2 linked regions of the Canis lupus familiaris genome follow. The protein of the gene in region 1 purifies or fractionates together with the protein of each later gene. This does not show direct contact. Links are inferred from orthologs where the notes say so. Each region holds a gene or a part of one and is shown on either strand. Other genes may lie near its edges. The genes, in order: CCDC68 and CEP170.

The links.
Region 2: the proteins of CCDC68 (region 1) and CEP170 purify together in Homo sapiens (co-immunoprecipitation; 3 studies listed by BioGRID and IntAct, counting the BioPlex papers as one, with this or other methods). This does not show direct contact. The link is inferred for Canis lupus familiaris from reciprocal best matches to the Homo sapiens genes CCDC68 and CEP170.

What each region holds. Positions count from the first base shown.
Region 1 is NC_049222.1:20,761,850-20,765,680, forward strand, and holds part of CCDC68 (coiled-coil domain-containing protein 68), read left to right. Parts: intron 1-303; 5' UTR 304-317; coding exon 318-434; exon of another isoform or gene 435-436; coding exon of another isoform or gene 437-442; intron 443-1,543; coding exon 1,544-1,630; intron 1,631-3,831. UniProt on the Homo sapiens protein: Centriolar protein required for centriole subdistal appendage assembly and microtubule anchoring in interphase cells. Together with CCDC120, cooperate with subdistal appendage components ODF2, NIN and CEP170 for hierarchical subdistal appendage assembly.
Region 2 is NC_049228.1:34,261,500-34,265,330, reverse strand, and holds part of CEP170 (centrosomal protein of 170 kDa), read left to right. Parts: intron 1-2,483; coding exon 2,484-2,963; intron 2,964-3,831.

The sequences.
Region 1 (3,831 bases):
GATGAATAAGATGCAATCTGTAGTCTTAAGGTTTTATAGTCCAATATGATGTGGAGTAAAAAGAGACATTTTACATAGTTTCTTCTCAGATAATTTGATTTTTATACTTCTGATCAATGAATGCTTCAGCTGGTGCTGTTTTTATATTAAATTAATTCCTGGATATATCCAGATATCAATAATTAATCACATGTTCTACTATATTTAATTATAGTGCTAATACAGAACTTCTTTCAGTTTATGGACCGTATTATCAGATCATCAAAGAAGTTAGTTTTGACTAACTGATTTGTGTTTTCCTAGAGCCGGAATTCACAATGACAACAGTAACAGTGACCACAGAGATTCCCCCAAGTGGTAAAATAAAAAATAACTCTGCCCTGTATGAGTCCACATCAGCTCACGTTATTGAAGAAACTGAATATGTGAAAAAGGTATGCAGGTACTGGAAATCGATCATGATCTTTTAAAATGCAACCTAACATGGATGGGTGGGCTTTGTTTCTCCCTCCATAGAACCTGTGAGGACACATTTGGTAAAGGACAACCCCAGCAGCTGAAATTTCAACACATGTTTGGTAACCTCTCTTGAGGACACAAACCTCTGTTCCCACACATGGCATAAAATTGAATCATGGGCCAGAAGGGTTCAGAACACCTATCAGCACTTAATTTGCCCCACACTCTTCACCACTGCACTTCCTACTGTTTTATATCATTTCTCAGTTGTTTCATGAGTGTTGCTACTGTGCTCCCAACTAGATGTTTATGTTCTCTCTGAGTTACTGTCTCTCCTTACCGCTTCCTTTTCACAGTGCTGGGTTGCTCTCCTCAGTGATCACATGTTGGCATGTGACTTCATTACAAATGTGAAATCTTATGAGAATCCAGTGATAATGGCTGACAAAAGTATATATTCTTATGAACTGTTTCTTAGAACAGATAGAAAAATTTGAACCTGGCTAGTTTATAACTTACTTAGATTAATTCATCTTTGAGTGTCTTACAATTCCATAGGTCACTAAGACATTAGGCTTATATTTCATGCATAAATTTGTATGATCTTCTCTTAGTAATTATTCTGTAGTAATTACTAAATAGTAATTATTCTATAGTAATTGCTAGCTAGTAATTATTCTCTAGTAATTACTAGCTAGTAATTATTTTGTAGTGATTACTAAATAGTAATTGTTTTATAGTAATTACTAAATAGTAAATTAGTACTAAATTGCTACATAGGAAAAATAGAATTAAATAGTATTAAATACTAATTACTAAATAGTAATTATTTTGTAGCATAATATTCATTTAGGTTATATTTTAGGTTTGACTGAGAAAGAATTATAAAGACCAAATGTTCATTTTCTGCAGTCTAAACAATATTAGCCTAAATGCAAGTCAGGTTGGTGGCAGTTATTTAAATCTCTGATCAGTGTTTATTATTACTTTCCAGATAAATCAGGTATACTGTAGCTGGTATAAAGAAAAAAGTATTTGACATTAAATGTCTTTGAAAAAAAATTTAAATGTGCTTTTCTTCTAGATCCGAACTACTCTGGAAAAGATCCGAAATCAAATTTTTAAAGATGAAGTAGGACATAACAGTACAAATCACAAACTAGAAACAAAGGTAATAAATTGATCAAAATGTACCACTTTATTCCTTCAGTAAATAAACATAAAACAGTATAAACCCTATTTAAATAACTTTTTATGATAATTATTAAATTATTCTTTGAAGTTTTGAATGATGGATGTTAAATATTTTGTCAGTATCTAAAGATGTTACTGGGCATATGTATGAAATATTTAACCACAGATGTTATTAGCAGGCTCAGATTGGAAGGACTAGACCTTAGTTGAATATTTTAAATAGGGCTTACTTATCTAAAGTATATGTAAAGATGTCAGCCCAGCCAGGATATAGGGCAGCAACATTTTTCAAAGCGTGATGAAGGTACAACCTTTTAGGCTCACCTGGGTCACGCCAATGGACACAGAGTCGAAGTTATTAAGCTGTTAGGCCAAGTGATCAGACAATTGATAAACTTGAATGTACCGTTTCCCCTGTGACTGGCCTTATATTCTTAATGTCAAACAATCTACACTAGCCTTGCCTGGATTGTGCCGGATTAGAGCCCATCTGAAGCCAAGTGCACCTCATCCATACCAACGTTGTCCACTATATAGTGTAGCCATAGAGAATGAAGAAGGCATAAATATTGTTCCCTTTATCATGCTCAGTCTGCCAAACTAACACAACCAGCTCCAAAAATTTTCTTATATTAAGTGCTCAGAAACTAGAAAAAAAGGTTAATGTTTGTGAATGGTGGTAAAGGCCAAAAAAAAAAAAAATCCATTTTGGTTCTATTGAGTTGTTTATTTCACCTGTAAGTGGAGATTTATAATGGGTACTGTGTGTCTGATTCTGGCTTTGAAGGTAGAGGTTTGGGCTAGAAGATCCAGGCCACAGGGCAGAGATTTTAGAAATAAAGATAGCATTTAAATTTCTGAAATTGGAGGAGATTGCCAAATGTGAGTGTGGATAGAAATGACGGGGGCACCTGAGTGGCTCAGTCAGTTGAGCATCTGACTCTTGGCTTTGGCTCAGGTCCTGATCTCGTGGGTCCTGAGATCGAGCCTTGCCTCTGGCTCCGGGCTCACTCAGGGGAGAATCTGCTTGAGGATTTTTTCCTTCTGCCCCTCTCCTCATGTGCATGGGAGCGCTCTCTCTCTCTCTCTCTCTCTCTCAAAAATAAATAAATAAATAAATAAATAAATAAATAAATAAATACATCTTTAAAAGAAATTAAATGGCAGGAAATTTGAGCATTTGGTCCTGAGATATCCAACACTTTGGAAGAAGAATCCTCACAGCAGGCTGGAAAAAGACACTAGTGAATTAGAAGGAAAACCGGAAGAGAGAGAGTCACTGAATGGCAAGTGAAAAAGGGTGTCACCACTATGTCTAATGGTGCCTATGGGTCAAGTAAATTGAGAACTGAACATTCACCATTGGATATCACAATGGGAAGGTTGGTGACCTTGATAGGAGTTAGGAATGGAGATGAATTGTGTTGCCAGTGTGTCTGCCTTGGTCATCTCAAACCTCAAGATAGCAAATAATAGCCTCAAAGGACCTGCTCCTTCCCCTGCAATATCTGCACAACGTCCATGTGGGAATTCAGCATACTGATCTAGGGCTTTACTGCTCTCCAAGCCTGGGCGGTATTCACAGCAGCAGTAGCAGTACCAGGGAGCTCTTTAGAAATGTAGCATCTGGAGCTCCACCCCAGACCTTGTGAATCAGAATCTGCATTTTAACTGGATCTATCACCAAGTGACTCATATACACATCAAAGTTCAAGATGCACTAATCCATGACCTTTGTAGCTATCTACTGCTGCCAGCAATCTACCTTCCACAAGACTCCTTCCATGGAGTATTCTTTTACAAATTAAAAACAAAATAACTTATATAGGGAGAGTGAGAGTATATAGTAGTGTATGGAGTAGAATAAACAAAACCATGATGGAATTACAGGTCTTTAAAATTTATATATTTATATATATTATTTATTTCACTATATTCTTTTCTGCTTTTTTATTTCTGTAAACGTAACCTATATTTTGTACTAGAAAGAATATTGCCTTTGTTAAACAAACTTGGGTTCCAATTCTGGTCCTGGTGGTTGTTTTAGGTATAACCTCCTAAAATACTAGAAAACACTTACTAGTATTGCTAGTAAGCTTACTAGTGAAACACTCTCATCTTCAATTTTCTCCTCTGAATAATGGACATAGTGCCTTCTAGTGTTTGCAGCATTCAGAC
Region 2 (3,831 bases), on another chromosome or scaffold:
AAAGTATGTATGTCAGTATTAACAGTGAGCTTTTCCTTCACAAAGAAGGAAAATATTCCTTTAAATTATGAATGATAAGTAGAAGATAAATGTTATACACCTGGAGCAGCTTTTTGTGGGTTTTGCTTTGTAGTTCAGCCACCTCATTTTATTTGGGTATACAAGTTGGTGGTAGAAAGAAACTATACCACCCTTTATCTCCAGCCAGCATTATCCTGTTACCAGAAGGATGAGCAAAGCAGAATAAATGACTCCGTGAATGTCATTTCGCTGATAGGCTAGGCTTAAAAGCCAGTTGTATTATATGGACATTGTAATAAATAGTAAATAAGCCAGTGTATGAAAAATTAAAAATAACATTAATGAGTTTACTAATATATGGGAGTGACTGATGCAGTTTACTCTCATGGGAATTTTTTTTTTTTTTTAAGATTTATTTATCCATTCATTCAGAGAGAGCAAGAGAGAGGCAGAGACACAGGCAGAGGGAGAAGCAGGCTCCATGCAGGAAGCCCGATGTGGGACTCGATCCTGGTCTCCAGGATCACACCCCAGGCTGCAGGCGGCGCTAAACCACTGCGCCACCAGGGCTGCCCTCTCATAAGAATTTTAAATGACAGGCCTTCAGAGTAAAGAGTGCAAGTAGGCATTTTATTATTAAGATAAATTAACTTTTTTAAAAAAAAGATTTTATTTAATTCATGAGAGACACAGAGAGAGGCAGAGACACAGGCAGAGGGAGAAGCAGACTCCACACAGAGCCCAGTGCAGGACTCGATCCCAGGATCACGCCCTGGGCCGAAGGGAGGCATGCAACCACTGAGCCACCCAAGCGTCCCAAGATAAATTAACTCTTACAGAAATTTAAAACATGACTTTAGGTTATTTAGTCTTATTGTATAATTTCTTCTCCCAAATAGCATGTAAAATTTTTGCTTTAATGACAGTGTTTTCTGAAACACATTTCACATTTTTAGTTATACGAAAAATTAAGTATATTTTGTAAAGAATAATTTTTTACATTGAAAAACATTTTTGTTACTGTTTACCTTCTGTATATTGAGCTTTTTTTTTTTTTTTTTTTTTTTGGAACTGGAGCTTGATATTTTCTATATGCCCTGTTCCATACATTGATTACAGCAGTGCTATTGTCCCATTCTTATAACCTAAAAGCAAATAGTTTTGTTTATGTTCAGAGAGTACTACCAAGAAATAATTACAGCACCTGTAGAATCCCATCAAGATTCAATATTTGAAAAGATGCTTCAAGAGACCACAAATACTGCTTTACTTAATTAGGGGATGATTGGAAACAACCTAGTCTCCCTGTACTGCTTCCTAATAAATTATCTGCACATGGTATTTCCATCAATCTGTTTAAAAATGGAATGCTTCTGAGAGCTTAAGGGAAATATTTTTCATTTGAACTCTTTACGATCTTCATAATGGACATAGTTCTCTTGCTTCCTGAAAAACAAGGCCGTTTAGTCTTTTTAATTTATCTATTTAGTTATTGCTTGCATTTGTACTAATTACACATACTTACAAGAAAACATTTCAATAATCATTTGTTTATATATTTTATTTACCTATTTTATTGACATATACTATGCATATATTTTTATACCTTTATATTTATTTCTGAGATAGCAATTGCTCACTTTTTCTGCCAACTCTGGTTGTTTTGATCTGAGATTTATAATTCAGCTTTCCTCCCAAGAATTTTTGACACTTGCGCATATTCTGCTATATAGACATACACATGAATTTTCTTCTAGAATTTTTGGCTGGCAACTAAATTTTCTATTTTTACCTTATTTCTTTCACATTGCTGCTTCGATTGCAATGCTGCAAGCAAACCACGTGTTTTATCTCTAGTCCTTTTATTCTTTATAGAATGTATCCATCTTCTTGCAGTGATCACACATCAGTAATGTTATTTTTATAATTCTAAAAGTAATGTCTTTAAATGTGATGGTGAAGAATGGTAAGTGGAATCATTGCCTCTAGAACATCACTTGCATATTGACTTCATGTTTATTTCTTCATATGAGCACCTGTTCTCCTTCAGAGCTCTACTTTGTGTTCATAGATAATTTATCCTCCTGACTTGATAAGGAAATTCATATTTTTTCTGTCTCTAGATGTATATGTTGAATGTGCATCTTCATCTCCATTTGATTTCAGTTCTTTTGCACCTTGATTTCTAGATCCAAATTGGAAAAAATACGGATCTAGCCATGCCAGGGTCTGTCTCTTAACTGCTTTGTTCTTTGTCACTGCTGCTGCTTATCTTGCATCTTCTGTTACTGAATGCTATTTATAATCAAAATTATTCTTTCTCTGTGACATTTGCCAGATTTTCATCCAGGCTGTGATCTGCCTTCCGAGTCTCATGGCATAATACAAATAGCCATATTTATTCTCCTTCAAGTTTTAGAAGCTCCCAAATATTTTGAATTTTCTCTTATTTTTTTCATTAGGGTGCAGCATAGATGCCAAGCAAGTTGAGGAACAGTCTGCAGCAGCTGCAAATGAAGAAGTACTTTTTCCTTTCTGTAGGGAACCAAGTTACTTTGAAATCCCTACAAAAGAATTTCAGCAGCCGTCACAAATAACAGAGAGCACTATTCATGAAATCCCAACAAAAGACACACCAAGTTCCCATACAGCAGGTGCAGGGCATGCTTCATTTACCATTGAATTTGATGACAGTACTCCAGGGAAGGTAACTATTAGAGACCATGTGACAAAATTTACTTCTGATCAGCGCCACAAGTCCAAGAAGTCTTCTCCTGGAACTCAAGACCTGCCGGGGATTCAAACAGGAATGATGGCACCAGAAAATAAAGTAGCTGACTGGCTAGCACAGAACAACCCTCCTCAAATGGTATGGGAAAGAACAGAAGAGGATTCCAAAAGTATTAAAAGTGATGTTCCAGTTTACTTGAAAAGGTTGAAAGGTAAAGTGAATTGATCATTTCAGAACTTCCTGTTTTGTGATAAAGAAAATTCAGTCTTCACAGTTAACCAGACTACTCCTAGATAAATAATTATATGATAGGAAACTTCAGCTTTTTCAAACCTTTATATTTGATTTTGAAGCTCAAAAGCAAGCCACACTACCCATGTCCACCTTACTCATGAAAAATAGTCTGCCTTCATTTTCTTGCCAAAACCAAATTGGTTTTGTGAATTTATATTTATGCCATTAAAAATGTTTCTTTTTCCTGTGGAAATAAAAGATTAATTCTGTTCACCAATGGAATTCCCTAGAAGACAGTTCTCATCATTTTCTTGACTTCAGGAAAAACTATATTCAATTCTGTTCTTCTCTATTGTGATGCTTCCTGTAAAATGTCAAAATCTAGATTTTGAAAGAAATTTTAAGCCGTTTGATAATGGGCCAAAAGTTCTACATTAGTAATATAGTGACATTGTTGATAGAGTGTTTCCAGCTTTTCTCAGCAGTTACTCATGAAACAAAAAAACTTGTGGTCTAGAGATACTAGGAATTAATTGAGTTAAAAATGTTTTTGATATTAAAATTTATGAAATCACAATCGAATGTTTATTTGTGAAATAGTCAATATATGCTTTTCAGTGTAACACTTGACCAAAATTAGGCAAATATCTATACTTCTATATCAGAGTATCAACTGAATAATTTTTACATTGTTTTGCTAATTAAGTATATTTTAATTACCCTATCTTTATTTTATTTAATTAGCTATCTTTAAAAGAAATGATTGCATGCTAATCTGGCCATTCTGTTTCTCTGCAAGGAGTTAATAAGCTTAAAAAAAATGCTCATTGAGGTCATTGTATCCC